4 linked regions of the Saccharomyces cerevisiae S288C genome follow. The protein of the gene in region 3 interacts with the protein of the main gene of each other region in a biochemical or structural test. Each region holds a gene or a part of one and is shown on either strand. Other genes may lie near its edges.

Region 1 (6,544 bases), on a different chromosome or scaffold from region 3:
TTTTCTTCACCAGAACCTTCACCGTGCAAAGCCATCAAAGCACCGACATCGAACTTTGGTTGTTTCAACAACTTAACCTTTCTAACATGGATGTTTTGTAGTGGGAAAATGTCCTTGGTGGCGTTTTCAATTTCCTTGTTGATAACTTCTGGAATCAACTTGGAGGTCAATTGGGCCAAGGTAGATCCTTGAACTTCCTTAGTCAAGATTTCGGAAATAACCTTTCTGATAGCTCTGATATGGGAAGATTGAGCGTAAGAGTGTCTCTTAACTTGGTTAGCTTGCTTTCTGGTGAAGGCGATAGCAAAGATTCTCAAAACGTAATCATCAGAAGTCTTAACAGTAACGTTAGCTTCGATCAAAGTTTGCCACTTTCTAACCATGGATCTCAATTTATCAGTAGTGAAGTCCATACCGTGGAAGTTGGTCAATAAATTCTTACCTTGGACTTCGTCAACTCTTAATTTGATTTTTCTGAAAGAGTGGTCTTCAGAACCCTGTAAGTCAGCCAAGCAAACTTCGACAACTCTACCTTTCAAAGCATCTGAAGCACTCTTCAAACCAGTGGACTTGTTAACTAAAGTCTTACCAACATTTCTGTTTTCAAAAGTGGATGGAGCTTTAATGTCGAACCATTCCTTTCTGGTAAATGGGTCAACGACTCTCTTCTTTTGACCTTTCTTACCCTTGGATAGTCTCTTATTCTTTCCGACAGCCATGATTAAACGATTGGTTATTCGTGTGCTTGTTTTGTTTCCTTAATATTAAAGTTCACAACGTGAACACCTTCCTTTCTTAATAGAATAGTTGTGACATCTAGTCATTTTGGGTATATTATCGCGCAGGTGAGAGAGTCCTGGAATTTCCAGCGGATGGTGACGCGAGGCATCCGTAGTGCACAATAAAAAGTTAGTTTTTCATTAACCGAAAAAAAAAAAAAAATAAAATATATTAATGTTTGGGTTTCAACGTTTCCGTGGGTCTGGGTCCACAACAGAAAACTGTCCTGAAGTTTGATTAGGTTTTAGTAAGTAAACAGTTATGGTTACATTATTAAGGAATACAGAAGAGACTGCATGTGTACATAGGCATATCTATGGCGGAAGTGAAAATGAATGTTGGTGGTCAAATGCAGTCCATATTTTTGAATTCTTCATCCATCGAAAAGGCGTAATTTATTTCTAAAGGAAGTTTTAGTTCTACCATAATGCTTGCACTGGGCTCCTCGAGCACCACAACAACTAATTTTTCTCCCACTAAATCATTCACTACACTTATCCAAGAAAATTGCTTTAGTTTCTCTATAGTTATTGCGGGCTCCCAGGCACCGCATATGACCTTCTTAATTTCTTTTGACGCCTTGTACCCTGGGTTGTCCCGCAACATCTTCACCATCTTAATCAGGACGGTCTCCAGAGCAAGCGTATGACGATTCGTGCCTTCGGTTTCTTGCGCCAGGGTATATAAAAATGTTCTCATCAACAGAGACATTCCTATAATCTTCTTTGAAATAGTTTCATCCTTGAATCCGTTAATAGCTTCTGAGAAATAGCGTGGTACCATCTCCTGTGACACTACCAATTTACCCTTTTGTAGACCACCTTTCCGTACGAAGTCTTTTTTAGAAATTTCTACGGCAGCTTCACATATTTTGAATGCTTTTTCAGTACTACCACTTACGTTGGCTACGTTCTTTGCAATAAGTTGAGTGATTTTGTTGTTGATCTTATGATTGATTACTATCACATTATCTGGTATTTTCTGGTTCTGTCCTTCGCGAATATTATTGTAAATAGTCATTTCCTTCTTATCATTTACTTTGACATGAAAAGGTTTCAATAAAGATTTGAGTCGCGTGATGATCATTTGTTGCAATTCATTCTTGTCCACCTTATTAAGTTTGATTTCGGTAAAGTGTGCTTTGAGGGAGGGCATTATATTTATTTGCTCTCTAATCGTCACATTATGTCCGCCAACGCAAATGATAGACAATTTTGAATTTTTCGAAGAAATCCATTTCTCGAAATATTGTAAAATCTTCTCACTCAATAGATTTTCCGGATTTTGTATTAATATTAGTGTCTTTCTCTTTTTTGCTTTCGGGACATTTGTAATATAGAAGTTTAAGGCCTCTAGTGATATATCACCGCATAGATTTTCTTTAGAAATGGCGAACCATATTTTCTCATATAATGCATCCATTCCTGCCAGTTCCAAGGCATCAATATGAATGTAATCGAAAATAGGTAGTTCCTTTCGGGCCGAAGAGGTGATCAACTCATCCATTACATCATTCACAAGCTGGAATTTAGTAGAATCATCTGCATTGGTAATATAAAATAGTTTATTTTGGGAAGACATCAAACTGTCGTAAATCGGAAGGAATATTCTTGTAAAATCCTCCACTTGTGATTTTAGTAGTTCTCTCTTTTGTAAAGATTCTCTAATTGATTCCTCTAAATTTATATCAGCGTTAAAATTTGACAGAATGGTTTCTCTTCCAGATGAAGAGCATGCTTTTCTAAACTTATCCTCAAGGCCTGCAACGTCCAAGCTTGACTGTTCGTCTGTTAATTTGTTCAATTGGGAGGAATCTGTTACTTGATTATCTGGTGCAAACCGGTCTAAAATTATCTGATATTTTTTTTTCAACTTTGACAAAGTAGCGAAATCAATCATCTTTGCATTACCTTTTTCTGGTGTAGGATTTTCGTTCATACTATGAATTTTGGTGTTGCCCCTGGGAATTCCAGGTTTTCCATTTCCGTTCATTTCGTTATCTGTTTCTGTAGTGTAATTTTTAGAAAATTCTTGTGTTTCTTGAATGTGGATTTTTCTAATTTTACTGCTCAATTCGCTTCCGTGAGCGCCACGTCTTTTATTTACTGGTATTATTGCTTCATCAGAACTTTCTGAACTAACTTCATCTGTTTCCTCTTCAAGCCCACCATCATCACTCACTTCTGGATTATTTGCATATACAAAATTCTCTCGGCCGTCAACGAGTTCTGTAGATGTCTTCTCTGGCTTTGACCCAGGTTTACTTGAAAGCACAGATGTTTCATTGTTTGGCTCATAATCGGATTCCTGTTCTGAAGAGTTTATTGGTATTTCCTCTGAAACAATTAGTTCCTTTGATATAGATCTTTTTTGTAAAATTTTCGAAGAATCTGTAGGTGATGTGAGCGCAGAAGGGGACGCCGATGAGATGTTAGGGGAAACAGACTCTTCTTGGGGAGAAATTGAACCATGAGTTGTTGACGTTCCTCGCTGAGACGGTATATTTCCATTATTTACGTCATCATCTGCAGAGGGCTCGATTTTAATTTTTTTCATTGAAGGTTTCTTTGCTAGTCTTTTTGAAGATCTTTCAACTCCCATCTTATGCATCACCTGTCTATTTGTCTTCTGCCCACTCACTGGTACAGATACTCTTTTCAAGTATTCATCAGATTGTTTGGGTTCCATTTCCTTTACTCTTCTTATGATTTGAAAAATATCAATTGGTACAAACTTTTCCGCAGTAGGTTCGCATGCATAACGTACTAGAAAATCTCTATCCTCTATTTTATCGATACTACTATCATTCCATTGTGACTCTGGCAGTATCTGTCCAACTGCAATGAAATCCTTAAGCCAAATCTCTGATAGCTCAGCAGTTAAATATAACTCGCTCTTATTTACTTCGTTGAAAAATTTATCTTTGTAAAATTCTAAAGGATGATCTTCCTTTATTAGATCTGGCCTGAATTGTTCGTAGTACAGTTTTGGTTTGAGTTCAAACCATCTCAAGTAAGAAAAAACCCAAATCTCCACAACATTATTAAGTGTATTGAGTCTGATCTCATGGATCAAGTAGACAGAATATGTTTCCGTCACATTATCATTAAATATCACGCTCTCACCCTTCCCAAAACTCAATCCATCAGAAATTCTTTTCAGAAATACGTTTTCTCCTCCTCTTTTTCTTGATCTTCTTCTATTGTTGTCGTCAATAACCCTCCCCTGATCATCTGTAATGATAACTTGCCAACCGTCCAAATCTTTCAATGTTTTAGCCATTTTAGCTAATCCAATTGTTAGAACAAAACAACTTTCTTAAACCCCTGTAAGGAAGGTGATGAAAGGGCTGCTTATGTGTTTTTCTTTTTCATACTATGTTCATTTTAACTTTTTTGGAAAGAATAGCGTTTTCGCGGTCATATTACTGATGCGATGAAAATTTACAATTATTTCTTTATTTAGATTGATACATAATATGGTTAACTTTAAATACATCTTTTGGACGCCGCATAAACAAACGTCCCGAATACTTTGTTCCCCTGGATTCGTTGTTTGCTTAACACTGTCAACTCTCTACTTAGTTTCATTTACACCATTTCTTTGTGTATCAGTCATTGCGAATACCCTTGCATATCTAATGGATCGAAAATAAATGGTGATGTCAAGAATACGAGATACAATAGCCAGGCCATTCCAGAACCTTACAGCCCTTGAGAAAGTGGTACAGTGGCTAAGATTAGGGACGACATTACTCATAATCTCTTTCGGGTTGGCGTTGACTGTCGGACCCCTTTCTTCGCCAAGAACATTGTACATGTCACGACTGGATACTTACTCTGCTGATATTACGACGGGTTTATTTACCGTGTTGAGAGAGTCTATGGAGCAGTCGACATCTACAGAAGAAAATAACGGTGTAGGCTTAACAACATCCGAACTGTATATATTGACTGCTTACACCGAAAGTCAGATAAAGAATGTTCCTCAGTACATCACAGTGTCGCTTTATGGGAGGTGCGATTCAACATATACCATGGTGGAAGTATTCGACTCTGAAGGAAATATGCATAGCGTAAAGAATTCGACTACTAAGAGTACCTGCAGTAGCATAGGAACGGACTATCTTTTTGATTATCGTGAGGTTTTAGAAAGCTTGGGTTTAGATATCATTTTAGATTATGCATACAACAAAATCGGTTCACAACAGGCAGAAAGTTCTGCATACACGACCTACATGAGGAGTTTAAAACATAAAAAGGCCAACGTGTTACATTTACTCTATGCAGTTATTAGTTTCCAGGTGTGTATGTTATTTTTCATGATATGGTACTACTACATAAAGGGAAGGTTTATGAACGCCCTCAAAGAAAGGGCACTTGTTCATATCAACTCTCTACTATCGCTAGTTGTTTTCATTGGGGGCCTGATAAGTAGCATAAGCCTTGCCTGGGTTAACTACACTATTCAGTCTAGAATTAATACAGAATTAGAGGCCTTCGGGTTTTCTTACCATCTTGGAGTTACATGGTTTGCGCTTCTGTGGTGTTTTGCAGGTTTGATTTCTGTGTCATGCTTAGCTTGGTCTGGCTTAGAATGGTGTATTTCCGATAATGGCACGTCCTATGGAGGTGGAATCGATGATAAATTCTTAGGCTACCAAGCCGGTGTATTTACTGATGCAGATCTAGACGATGAAACTTCTTACAGTCAACGTTATCCGCAACGACAGTCTACTTCGGGCGAGGCTGAACTGATGAGAAACAGTGATACTATGGCAACAATAAGAAAAACATCTGATGTTGACTTAAATAGTGAAAATGATGCTAACACCAGTTTAGACCATGGAAATCCCACCGCAAATATAAGCAATGGCGGCAAACACGAACCATTTGCTACTAGAGAGGAATTCGAATTGCAGGACATAAGATTCCGGTCAAGCAACGACAGTGAAGAAAGTATGCAAAGGGTTATCAAGCCTTCGTCAGCATTACAGTTTTGAATTCTTTCACCCATCATTCAAAATGCATATGCATACTATATTTGTCTAGTTTTTAATTATATAATAATAATAACAGAAACAAAAAATCGCATTCATCGTTTAATCTTATTTTTCTTTTTTCACCTTTTTCTTGTGAAATTGCCAAGCGCTTAAAAAATCGTTATTTCAGAACTAAACATCATTAAGCAACGAAGAAGAGAAAAGCGGAACTATAACCATGAGTGATACTACGGAAGTCCCTAGGCAATCATCTGAGAACGACCAGGATAATAACTTGGAAAGAACCAACTCATTAAAAAGTCCGGACGTGACCAACAATATACCAAGTCTTTTCAAATTAGCCGCCGAATGGCAAATCAACAATCCACAGGAAACCTTCCAAAACCATATCCTGGAAAATGATGTACTCAAGAAAATTAATGAAATCACTCATTTGATCCGGGAATCGTACAAAGACCTCTCCAGTCAAGATGGGATGATGTCCAAACAACAACAGGAAAAGATGGATTGGGATTTGTTTTGTACTGTTCCTGTAAACATTATTGAGCAATATACAAAAGACATGGACGAAATATATGAAAAAATGGAAAGGCTAGCAAAAGTAAGTATAGGTCGAAACTAGGCATCCTGTGCCATCTCAATTTTACTACGTTCTTTTACTAATAATGCAAATTTAATAACAGCAACAACGTCTTTGGTGTGAATCCGCTTTTCAAATAGACGTGGAAAGATGTGGTGACTCCATTCTCAATGCTGAAACGT
Region 2 (4,919 bases), on a different chromosome or scaffold from region 3:
CTTCACAATATTGGAAGATGAACTGAAAGGTTTTTTCACTTTCAATTCTGTTATAGAAGAGATTTTAGAAATATTTTTAATCCACCCTCGCAACAAATTCATTGCATTGTCCCTTGCAGAATATACCTACGCTAAGAACAAAATCAGAAGACATTTTAATCACTGGAAGACTGTATGTGAATTGAATGAAGAGGCAAACAGGTTTGCAAATCAAGCAAAGCTGAGGGTACAGGAAGCCGTCTTCTATATTTGGAGTGATAAAACATTAAAATACTCACAGATGGCCAACGATGAAGCTGAAAGTTTTAGGAATACTTGGCTACTATTTCGCTCGTTCCAACAATGGATAACTTTAACACAAACTCTTAAGGAGCAGTCAAGGTTAGCAGATCAGGCCTTTTTGAATAAGATGTTTAGGAAAATTTTAAAGGCACAAGAGCATTGGAAACACTTAGAAACTGTTAACACTGACAACATTAAGAAGATATTTTTACGAACAACATTTCATATATGGAAGCTAAGACATAAAGAAATAAACTACCACGGGTTGGAAAGAAGGATTTTCGAAAGAATAAAACAGAAAGTTATAAACTATGAATACAATAAGAGCATTGCAGAAAAAGTGAGGTCGTTTTCTCTACAAAGAAAATATCTGAATAAATGGGAAAAGAAAAACATTGAAAACGAAGATAAACTTGGGGCACTTTATGAACTGGAGAATAAATTCATCAAACAAAAGTTTTTTCGCAAATTAAACCGGTCATTTCAACATAGTCAACAAGAGGCAATTGCAAAGAGTAAACTAAATCAGACACTTTTGAGGTGCGTTTTTGAGAAGATGTGGCTGAAAAGATTCGAAGACCATCTGCATTTGTATTCAATTGTAAGTCTAAAAGAGGCTAACCTCGTGAAGCGTATTTTTCATTCATGGAAAAAACTTCTATATATTGACCTCAAAGCAAGCGATTATTCGAGGACTAATTTGCTCAAGTCATCATTGCGAAGTTGGAAACTTGAAGTAAAGTTAAAAATATTTGAGCAGAAATGTAAAAAGAGTATTCAAGCAAGCGCGTATCGTACATGGAGGAAAAGAATACAGTATGGGAAAATATCGAGCGAACATGTTAAAACGGCATTTTGTGCAAAATATCTTGGTGTGTGGAAAAGGAGGATGCTACAAATGAATTCTATGAATGACGAAGCATCCAAATTTTACGAAGAGGGTCTCGTAAATGAGTGTCTAGCTATATGGAAAGAACGCCTGATTAAAACTAAGGAATTGGAGGATAGATACAATTTCTTATGTAAGACACATGCAATTTTGACTGTAAAACGGACGCTAATGCATATTGATAATGTTCATTTGCTATATACGAAACTGGCGCCCTCTATGGATAGAGTAAAGCTTTCTAAGGCCTTTTTAAAGTGGCGGAAAGCCACAAGGTTCAAAGTCAGGCATAAGTTAAACGATATTTTACACGTTTATGAAAAGAGTAAAGAGCGCGAACTTCAAAGCCAACTGTTCAACGCTTGGCGAAATAGATTTTGCTTCTACACAGAAGAATGTAACATTCAGGCTATTTCAAAGAGAAACTACCAGCTTGAAAAAATGGTGCTGAAGAAATTTAGAGAAAGACTTTTAGAGATAGTAAAATCAGAAGAATTAGCAGACGAAGTTCGCGAAGAATTTGTGTTAGTCAAGACGTTTTATATTTGGAAAACTCATCTAGACGAAATATTTTATATGAGTACATTATTGGAACAATCGGAAGCTAATAAACAATTCATAATTACATCCAAATTCTTGAAAATGTGGAGTCTTCGATTCCTAAAAATTAAGCGTAATGATGAGACAGTCGAGGTGTTTCGTCATCGGTGGGACAGGGCCACTGTAAGGGGATTGTTATTATTATGGAAAAATCGTTCAGACAGTTCTCCAAAGAGAAGGAAGGACTTCAATCTTAAACATGAACTAAAAACTCCCATAAGATCAGACTCTCAAAACGCCTCAACCATACCAGGCTCAGAAAGAATAAAGCAGCACAGAATGGAAGCGATGAAGTCGCATTATAGCAGGGCAAGAAGAGCCATACCAAGTCCGGTGAAATCTTCCAGTGTTCTTGATTCTACAGCTAAAAAACAGATCAACCTTGAAAGTACGACAGGCTTAAACGGATCTCCGACGCGAGGAAAACCTCTAAGGTATTCTCCTAGGCGTACCACTAGAAACATGCCATCCAAAGTTGACCATATTGATTTTGGCAGAATACCCGCTGTACCTTTTAGCCTAAGCGCCAATTCTCCTAAAATCGATCAAGATATGGATTATATAAGAGAGCATGATAAATCCCCGTTAAGTCGTAAACGTCAATAGATATATATATTATGTACGTATGTATGTGTGCATATGTAGTCGTAACCTTTCTTGCTTCTGAGATGCATACAATTACTAATAATATTCTCCAGGTCTATGAAAACATCACAACATACTATACTTTTCGTGTTCGCGTTGTAAGCTATAATGGAAAATGGACGCCATAACGCATTACTTAACAAACTACAGTTTGTCAATAGAGTTGTCCAGTAGAGTTAAAAGGTCAATTCAACCGGTCTTCAATAAGACATGTCACTGAATGACTTCCTAAGTTCCGTGCTACCTGTCAGTGAACAATTTGAATACTTATCGTTGCAATCTATTCCGTTAGAAACCCATGCTGTCGTAACCCCAAATAAGGACGACAAAAGGGTCCCAAAAAGCACGATCAAGACTCAACACTTCTTTAGTCTATTTCACCAAGGAAAAGTTTTTTTTTCATTAGAAGTGTATGTGTATGTCACGCTTTGGGATGAAGCAGATGCCGAACGGTTAATATTTGTATCAAAGGCAGACACTAATGGTTATTGTAATACGAGGGTAAGCGTTAGAGATATTACAAAAATAATATTAGAATTTATATTATCAATCGACCCGAATTACTATCTTCAAAAAGTAAAACCGGCAATAAGATCATATAAGAAGATATCCCCCGAGCTGATTAGCGCAGCCAGTACGCCAGCAAGAACTTTAAGGATTTTGGCTAGAAGGCTTAAACAGTCAGGCAGCACCGTTTTGAAAGAAATAGAATCTCCACGTTTTCAACAAGATCTTTATCTCTCATTCACCTGTCCTCGTGAGATTTTGACCAAAATTTGTTTATTTACTAGACCTGCATCCCAGTACCTCTTCCCAGATTCTTCAAAAAACAGCAAAAAGCATATACTAAATGGCGAGGAACTAATGAAATGGTGGGGCTTTATTTTGGATAGATTACTAATTGAATGCTTTCAAAATGATACACAAGCAAAATTAAGGATACCGGGCGAAGATCCTGCTCGAGTAAGATCATACCTAAGAGGGATGAAATATCCACTATGGCAAGTGGGTGATATATTTACCTCTAAAGAAAATTCTCTTGCGGTATATAATATTCCATTATTCCCAGACGATCCTAAGGCTAGATTTATACACCAATTGGCAGAGGAAGATCGCCTCCTCAAAGTAAGCTTATCATCCTTCTGGATTGAACTACAAGAGCGTCAAGAGTTCAAATTAAGTGTCACATCATCTGTAATGGGTATTTCGGGATACTCTCTTGCCACTCCATCTTTATTTCCATCTAGTGCCGATGTTATTGTACCGAAGTCAAGGAAGCAGTTTAGGGCAATCAAGAAGTACATTACTGGAGAGGAATACGATACAGAGGAAGGCGCAATAGAAGCTTTCACCAATATTCGTGATTTTCTATTGCTCAGAATGGCAACAAATCTTCAATCTTTAACAGGGAAGAGGGAGCATCGGGAGAGAAATCAGCCGGTTCCTGCAAGCAACATCAACACGTTGGCGATAACAATGCTAAAACCGCGTAAAAAAGCTAAAGCCTTGCCTAAAACTTGATACATATTGATATTTATTATTTAGTACACGTATGTAGCATCGATCTTAGAAAATGCATGTTTGTATTTATTGTTAGTACCTTGATCGCCACCTTTCTAGGTAATGATAGGTCCTCAACTTTTACTACGCGGTGCACGCCTGTAAGGTCGGGCAAAACAAAGTGTGGGAACAATAAATAAGAGGGTAGGATGAAATATTACCTTTACTCTACTGCTCAGGTTGGCCACAATTTGCTAAAGAGTTTATCATTAAGTAGCTACCAGCGAATCTAAATACGACGGATAAAGAATGGCTAGTTTAGAAGATCTTATTCCTACTGTCAACAAGCTGCAGGATGTTATGTACGACTCCGGGATCGATACACTCGATTTGCCCATTTTAGCTGTTGTTGGGTCACAATCCTCCGGGAAATCCTCGATATTGGAAACGTTAGTTGGAAGAGATTTTTTACCTAGGGGTACTGGTATTGTCACAAGAAGACCGTTAGTTCTTCAACTTAATAACATATCTCCAAATTCTCCTCTAATAGAGGAAGATGATAACTCAGTTAATCCACATGATGAAGTTACAAAAATATCAGGATTCGAAGCTGGTACGAAGCCCTTGGAGTATAGGGGCAAGGAAAGAAATCATGCAGATGAGTGGGGGGAATTCCTGCATATACCAGGAAAACGGTTTTATGATTTCGACGATATCAAAAGAGAAATCGAAAACGAAACAGCGAGGATAGCCGGTAAGGATAAGGGCATCAGTAAGATTCCGATTAATTTGAAAGTGTTTTCCCCTCATGTTTTGAATCTAACGCTAGTAGATTTGCCTGGGATTACAAAGGTTCCTATTGGGGAACAACCACCTGATATTGAAAAGCAAATCAAGAATTTGATCCTAGACTATATAGCCACTCCAAATTGTTTAATCTTGGCCGTCTCTCCAGCTAACGTTGATCTTGTTAATTCTGAATCCTTAAAGTTGGCCAGAGAGGTAG
Region 3 (2,331 bases):
ACACTATTTTAGAGACATCGGATATAGACACTCCACAATACAGCATTGTCCACATAATGCCATGGGGAATGAGGAATTCTCCTACTTAGCCAGTGACTCAAAATTCAAACGTAAAAACGCGGCCTACGACGAGGGAAGGGAATTTGGGTGTGGCTGCAGGTGCAGATGTCCCAAGAAAAAGCGTGAAATTGAGGATTCCATGGGTTTCTGCGTAAATATTTGGGTAAATCTGCTTAACCAACAGAGGGGACACGAACGCCACGTCGAAGCACTCAACGGCAATGAAATGGAGGAGCACATAAGGGAAGACTATCTAAGACAGTTCGGAAACTAGTTTCTTTTATTGAGACTTATTTTTAATATATATAGTACATGAAATAATAAAAAACCGAAAAATGCATACATAAGGTTCTATTATATTCCCAATAGAATGATCGTTATTTTATTTTTTGAAAGGCATGAAAATAATTTCAAACACCGATTGTTTAACCACCGATTGTTTAACCACCGAAACCATATAAGGTTCTACCTTGTCTCTTCAAAGCATAAACAACATCCAAAGAAGTAACAGTCTTTCTCTTGGCGTGTTCAGTGTAAGTAACAGAGTCCCTGATGACGGATTCCAAGAAGGATTTCAAGACGGCTCTGACTTCTTCGTAGATCAAACCAGAAATACGCTTGACACCACCTCTTCTAGCTAATCTTCTGATAGCTGGCTTAGTGATACCTTGAATGTTATCTCTTAGAATCTTTCTGTGACGCTTGGCACCACCTTTTCCTAGACCTTTACCACCTTTACCTCTACCGGACATTATTTTATTGTATTGATTGTTGTTTTTGCTACTCTTTTGAACAAGATGTAGGAAAAAAGATAGAGAAAAGAATAAATTAAGCGAAAAAAAAAAAATCTCTTTCACCGCCTCATCCTAATATACTTATATATGATATAACTACATACGCACAAACACGTATGTATCTAGCCGAATAACAACAGCCCAGGCGCGAGTGAACAACATATTAAATTAAACGCCTTCTTGTCAGTTGTTTTGTTCTGGTCTGGTCTGCATTTCGCGCCCGAAAAAGCTTGAGACGCGAAGCTCCCAGAACGTCCTGCCATACAAATGCGAAACTCTCGGTCTAGTACCACTTTCCCGGTGCCAAACGACCACAGTTGTCCGTTCCGAGCACTTCGCATTAAGCGCGTGAAACTATTGGCACGCCCTAAGGGGCTCCTACGGATGGGAGTTGGTCATTTAGCGTTCATTATCGCCCAATGTGACGCACAATCACGGCTATGGCTCGGTGTCAAAACATAGTTTGCGTGATAACAGCGTGTTGTGCTCTCTCGCGTTGCTTCTTGTGACCGCAGTTGTATATAAATAATCTTTTTCTTGTTCTTTTATATAGGACCACTGTTTTGTGACTTCCACTTTGGCCCTTCCAACTGTTCTTCCCCTTTTACTAAAGGATCCAAGCAAACACTCCACAATGGCCAGAACTAAACAAACAGCTAGAAAATCCACTGGTGGTAAAGCCCCAAGAAAACAATTAGCCTCCAAGGCTGCCAGAAAATCCGCCCCATCTACCGGTGGTGTTAAGAAGCCTCACAGATATAAGCCAGGTACTGTTGCCTTGAGAGAAATTAGAAGATTCCAAAAATCTACTGAACTGTTGATCAGAAAGTTACCTTTCCAAAGATTGGTCAGAGAAATCGCTCAAGATTTCAAGACCGACTTGAGATTTCAATCTTCTGCTATCGGTGCTTTGCAAGAATCCGTCGAAGCATACTTAGTCTCTTTGTTTGAAGACACTAATCTGGCTGCTATTCACGCTAAGCGTGTTACTATCCAAAAGAAGGATATCAAATTGGCCAGAAGACTAAGAGGTGAAAGATCATGAATATAAAGCGGGAATTTTTTTTTTTCTATGCATTTAGACTGGGGGGACATCATACAAACATCTCCTTTTTTAATACATTATTCATCTATCTATTCGCAATGCTTTTAACGACATGAGGAGGGTATATATGCTGTAATTTATCGTTTACAGACATAATTGCGGGGCTAATTTTTAGATGCTTAGATAGTATACGTAATTTTATAACCGGCAAGAAACCATGTATAATAATTATCAATAAACATCATTTTCGAAGAGACTAGTTACGTAAAGGTAATCACTGTCTACATATTACCATTGTAGAGGCAACCAGTTGTTTTTACTAGCAATCCTCTTAATTTCGTCATCGTCATACATCTCGATGAACTGCTGATCAAGCGCCCTGGCCTTCGGAAATGCGAAACGTCTGTACTCATCAAAAATCATCGTTAGCGA
Region 4 (4,926 bases), on a different chromosome or scaffold from region 3:
ATTCCATTAATCTCAAAAGCAACTCTACTATTGACTATCGCAACCAGGAATGTACAGGGCCAACGTACTTATTTGGTTACCATCCACACGGCATAGGAGCACTTGGTGCGTTTGGAGCGTTTGCAACAGAAGGTTGTAACTATTCCAAGATTTTCCCAGGTATTCCTATTTCTCTGATGACACTGGTCACACAATTTCATATCCCATTGTATAGAGACTACTTATTGGCGTTAGGTATTTCTTCAGTATCTCGGAAAAACGCTTTAAGGACTCTAAGCAAAAATCAGTCGATCTGCATTGTTGTTGGTGGCGCTAGGGAATCTTTATTAAGTTCAACAAATGGTACACAACTGATTTTAAACAAAAGAAAGGGTTTTATTAAACTGGCCATTCAAACGGGGAATATTAACCTAGTGCCTGTGTTTGCATTTGGAGAGGTGGACTGTTATAATGTTCTGAGCACAAAAAAAGATTCAGTCCTGGGTAAAATGCAACTATGGTTCAAAGAAAACTTTGGTTTTACCATTCCCATTTTCTACGCAAGAGGATTATTCAATTACGATTTCGGTTTGTTGCCATTTAGAGCGCCTATCAATGTTGTTGTTGGAAGGCCTATATACGTTGAAAAGAAAATAACAAATCCGCCAGATGATGTTGTTAATCATTTCCATGATTTGTATATTGCGGAGTTGAAAAGACTATATTACGAAAATAGAGAAAAATATGGGGTACCGGATGCAGAATTGAAGATAGTTGGGTAATAATGAATTCATTGGAAAACACAAAATATGTTAGAATAAATAAGGATTTTTTAGTGTTTGGGCTGTATATCTTAAGTAAGAGTATTAACTTACAGGAATACTGGAGTTCTCGTTGAATATTAGTGATTGTTTTACGTAAATTTCATTTATTTAAAGCTTTTACATTAGAAGTTGTTTGAATGTAAGTTTAGGAAAGCACTACATAGCTTACCAGGCAAAGCGTAACTGAGAGGCAGTAAATACCGGTGGTTTCCATATGAGTCTATTAGGGTCTATTGTCCTTCTCTTTTTGGCTTTAAGTCGATTGTACCTATCTAAAATATCTTCATTCAGGAAAATAATATGCTGACCCTTGTAATATCGCAGGATATTCAGTGTCTTTGCTGTGTGTAATATATCTGTAGTGGTCATCGAAGTCATGGAGCTTATTTCGTCTATAGTAATTTCCTTCTGGTGTTCCACTAATAGCGTTATGAGAGTGTCCGACCAATAGGCTCTATAGGATAAGAGACCCAAATCAGACAAAGGTTTCTCGGGAGAACCAACTTTGTTTTCCTTTTTCGACAATTCATACGAAAATTCAATCAATAACTTACCATATCCCATCCTTTGGTATTGTGGTAGTGTTAAGATACATGCAACATTGTAACCATCCGCGGATTCTTTTTCCTTGGAAAAATATCCCACCAGATGGTGACCCAACTCATCTCGTCTCGTCATGCAATAAAACAAAAACGGATCAACGTCATAGTATAATGTTTTGTGATCTAGGAAAAGTTTGGAAAGTAAACACAAGTTTCGACACCAAGTCCTTTGCTTTCTACCATCGATTTCAAAGAATGAAACATAATCGTCTCTGTAGATTTCATTTCCTGGCGGATGTCTTAATGTACATTTCTTCCTGTAGCGTTCGTATTGTTTCTTAGATCCAAAATACTGCAACGTGAAATCGTCGATATATATAAAATCTTCATCAGTTAATTCAATAGGATATGGAGAAAAGTACCATGGTTCTATTTCATATTTCCCCATAATGATTCGATTGAGATTTCTAACTCGAGCCACCTCATGTGGATTTTGTGTCATAGAGCCGGAGGTTCTAAGCTTTTTTATCTCATCCTCGTGTGATATGTTCTCATCTTTTATTCCCTGTACATTTAGATTATCTAAGTCCATAACATCCGTATTTTCTCTTGAGAAACCATCTACACCATCTTGCAGAGAGTCTTGTGGCGTTTCACTAGTATTTGTTGCCTTCTTCTTTTTTTGTTTCTTATTATCTTCATCAGTAGCCTTTAGTTTCGGATATAGTACTTCTTTATCCAGGTTTATTCTGTCAGTGGTAATCCACTCATCTAAACGCTTGTTGTAATTAACATAGTGAACATAGAATTTTGGTGGTGCTTTTCTTGTGTTTATGGATAAAATTTCAGCTAATCGTTCTTCATCATTTTTTTGGACCCAGCATTGACATTTGATAATAATATCATCTACTGAGTTTATCTTTTTGGCAATACCAGGTTCTTCTTTTCCGTCATGGGACATCGATGATTTCTTGCAGTATTTCCGAGAATGGTAGCACAGGAAGCGTCTAAAGAATGGTAAAGCTCTTTTCTATTCTCCTTTGATTACTATAATAATATACACCTTTTAGCAATATTCGTTTTGCATTTGCTCCGCCGGAAGCCGTTTTCATCTTTTCAACGGGCGGGTAGTAATTTGGAAAATTTTCCATCATTATAATAATGATGAAATAGTCAATAGGTACAGCTCATCGATTAATTATAATCACGTTGTTCCTTCCCAAGGAAAAAAGCAATATCTGTTGCATGCCATGTCTGACTCCTCAGAAGCCACTGTAAAGAGACCCCTTGATGCTCACGTAGGACCTTCCGAAAATGCTGCAAAGAAGTTGAAAATTGAGCAACGTACTCAGGCAGATGGTATTCACGAAGCAGATGTCGGTATTACTTTGTTCTTATCTCCAGAATTGCCAGGATTTAGAGGCCAAATTAAGCAGCGTTATACTGACTTTTTGGTCAACGAAATAGATCAAGAAGGTAAGGTCATTCACTTAACTGATAAAGGATTTAAAATGCCAAAGAAACCACAACGCTCTAAAGAAGAGGTCAATGCAGAAAAGGAGTCTGAAGCAGCTAGAAGACAAGAATTCAACGTCGACCCCGAATTAAGAAATCAATTGGTGGAGATATTTGGTGAGGAAGATGTATTGAAAATAGAATCCGTTTATCGCACGGCTAATAAAATGGAAACGGCAAAAAATTTCGAAGATAAATCTGTTAGAACTAAAATTCACCAACTGTTACGTGAGGCATTTAAAAATGAATTAGAATCTGTGACTACTGATACTAACACTTTTAAGATTGCAAGATCAAATAGAAATTCAAGAACCAATAAACAAGAGAAAATTAACCAAACCAGGGACGCTAACGGTGTAGAAAATTGGGGATATGGTCCCAGTAAAGATTTTATTCACTTCACTCTACATAAAGAAAATAAGGATACTATGGAAGCTGTCAATGTTATAACAAAGTTGTTAAGAGTTCCAAGCCGTGTAATTAGATATGCAGGTACTAAGGATCGTAGAGCAGTAACGTGCCAAAGGGTTTCGATTTCAAAGATTGGTTTGGATAGACTAAATGCTTTAAATAGGACTTTAAAAGGAATGATTATCGGAAATTACAATTTTTCGGATGCAAGTTTGAATCTGGGAGACTTGAAGGGAAATGAGTTCGTTGTTGTTATTAGAGATGTTACCACCGGCAATAGTGAGGTATCACTGGAAGAAATTGTGTCTAACGGCTGTAAGTCTTTATCAGAAAATGGGTTTATCAATTATTTTGGTATGCAGAGATTCGGTACATTCAGTATTTCTACGCACACAATTGGTAGAGAATTGCTCCTTTCAAACTGGAAGAAGGCTGCTGAGTTGATTTTATCTGACCAGGATAACGTGCTTCCTAAATCTAAGGAAGCTAGGAAGATTTGGGCAGAAACTAAGGACGCGGCTTTAGCATTGAAGCAGATGCCAAGACAGTGTCTCGCAGAAAATGCGTTACTATATTCTTTATCTAATCAAAGAAAAGAAGAAGATGGAACTTATTCTGAGAACGCTTATTATACTGCTATTATGAAAATTCCCAGAAATTTGAGAACTATGTATGTACATGCCTACCAAAGTTACGTCTGGAATTCTATTGCTAGTAAGCGGATAGAACTACATGGTTTGAAGTTAGTTGTAGGTGACCTTGTCATTGATACTAGTGAAAAGTCACCACTAATTTCTGGGATTGACGATGAAGACTTTGATGAAGATGTCCGTGAAGCTCAGTTCATTCGTGCAAAAGCAGTAACTCAAGAGGATATCGACTCAGTTAAGTATACCATGGAAGATGTCGTGTTACCATCGCCGGGTTTTGATGTGCTTTATCCTTCCAACGAAGAATTGAAGCAACTGTATGTGGATATATTGAAAGCAGATAATATGGACCCATTTAATATGAGAAGAAAAGTTCGCGATTTTTCATTGGCTGGCTCTTATAGAACTGTTATTCAAAAGCCAAAGAGTTTAGAGTATAGAATAATTCACTATGATGATCCTTCTCAACAATTGGTGAACACTGATTTGGACATCCTGAATAACACCAGAGCAAAAGAAAGCGGCCAGAAGTATATGAAAGCCAAGTTGGACAGATATATGCCAGATAAAGGCGGTGAGAAGACTGCGGTGGTGTTAAAATTTCAATTAGGAACCTCCGCATATGCCACCATGGCATTACGTGAACTCATGAAGCTTGAGACTTCTCGCCGTGGCGACATGTGTGATGTTAAGGAGAATATCTAAGGTTATACGAGGTGCAATATTCATGTATATTAGTTTACTTTTTTTGTCGGAAGCTCTTTCCCTCATACACTATTGTTGTGTCCGTGTCGTGTCACTTCAGGCGTCGGTAAATATGTATCTGCGCATCGCACACAAAGATAAAGCCTTTTTAAATATAAACAACACCTTCTAGATATATCTTATCAAAGGATACAACCACGTTTCTCAACAAGAAGGACCTAATAGAGGAAAATTATTATACTGTAGCTATCAATATTTTATAAACAAAAAGACAGATATATTCTCGCGTATTGAAGTCGG

What was found.
Region 1: the proteins of HHF2 (region 3) and SIR3 form a complex in vitro, tested with the Saccharomyces cerevisiae proteins (8 studies listed by BioGRID, with this or other methods).
Region 2: the proteins of HHF2 (region 3) and RTT109 form a complex in vitro, tested with the Saccharomyces cerevisiae proteins (2 studies listed by BioGRID, with this or other methods).
Region 4: of the proteins of HHF2 (region 3) and ESA1, one has a biochemical effect on the other in vitro, tested with the Saccharomyces cerevisiae proteins (6 studies listed by BioGRID).

Annotation. Positions count from the first base shown.
Region 1 is NC_001144.5:1,018,190-1,024,733, forward strand, and holds SIR3 (chromatin-silencing protein SIR3), read right to left. Parts: upstream 4,063-6,544; coding exon 1,126-4,062; downstream 1-1,125. Other genes in the region: 40S ribosomal protein eS1 RPS1A, read right to left, coding at 1-719; ECM7 (Ecm7p), read left to right, coding at 4,436-5,782; GMC2 (Gmc2p), read left to right, coding at 6,000-6,383, 6,466-6,544.
Region 2 is NC_001144.5:143,668-148,586, forward strand, and holds RTT109 (H3 histone acetyltransferase RTT109), read left to right. Parts: upstream 1-2,623; coding exon 2,624-3,934; downstream 3,935-4,919. Other genes in the region: SFI1 (Sfi1p), read left to right, coding at 1-2,374; dynamin-related GTPase DNM1, read left to right, coding at 4,223-4,919. UniProt on the Saccharomyces cerevisiae protein: Histone chaperone-dependent acetylase that modifies 'Lys-9', 'Lys-14', 'Lys-23', 'Lys-27', and 'Lys-56' on histone H3 (H3K9Ac, H3K14Ac and H3K23Ac, H3K27Ac, and H3K56Ac) to promote nucleosome assembly, genomic stability, DNA repair and transcriptional regulation during mitotic S-phase.
Region 3 is NC_001146.8:575,208-577,538, reverse strand, and holds HHF2 (histone H4), read right to left. Parts: upstream 813-2,331; coding exon 501-812; downstream 1-500. Other genes in the region: KTR5 (putative mannosyltransferase), read left to right, coding at 1-334; HHT2 (histone H3), read left to right, coding at 1,489-1,899; putative tyrosine protein phosphatase SIW14, read right to left, coding at 2,188-2,331. UniProt on the Saccharomyces cerevisiae protein: Core component of nucleosome. Nucleosomes wrap and compact DNA into chromatin, limiting DNA accessibility to the cellular machineries which require DNA as a template.
Region 4 is NC_001147.6:789,911-794,836, reverse strand, and holds ESA1 (NuA4 histone acetyltransferase complex catalytic subunit ESA1), read right to left. Parts: upstream 2,307-4,926; coding exon 969-2,306; downstream 1-968. Other genes in the region: DGA1 (diacylglycerol O-acyltransferase), read left to right, coding at 1-761; pseudouridine synthase PUS7, read left to right, coding at 2,596-4,626. UniProt on the Saccharomyces cerevisiae protein: Catalytic component of the NuA4 histone acetyltransferase (HAT), a multiprotein complex involved in epigenetic transcriptional activation of selected genes principally by acetylation of nucleosomal histones H4, H3, H2B, H2A and H2A variant H2A.Z.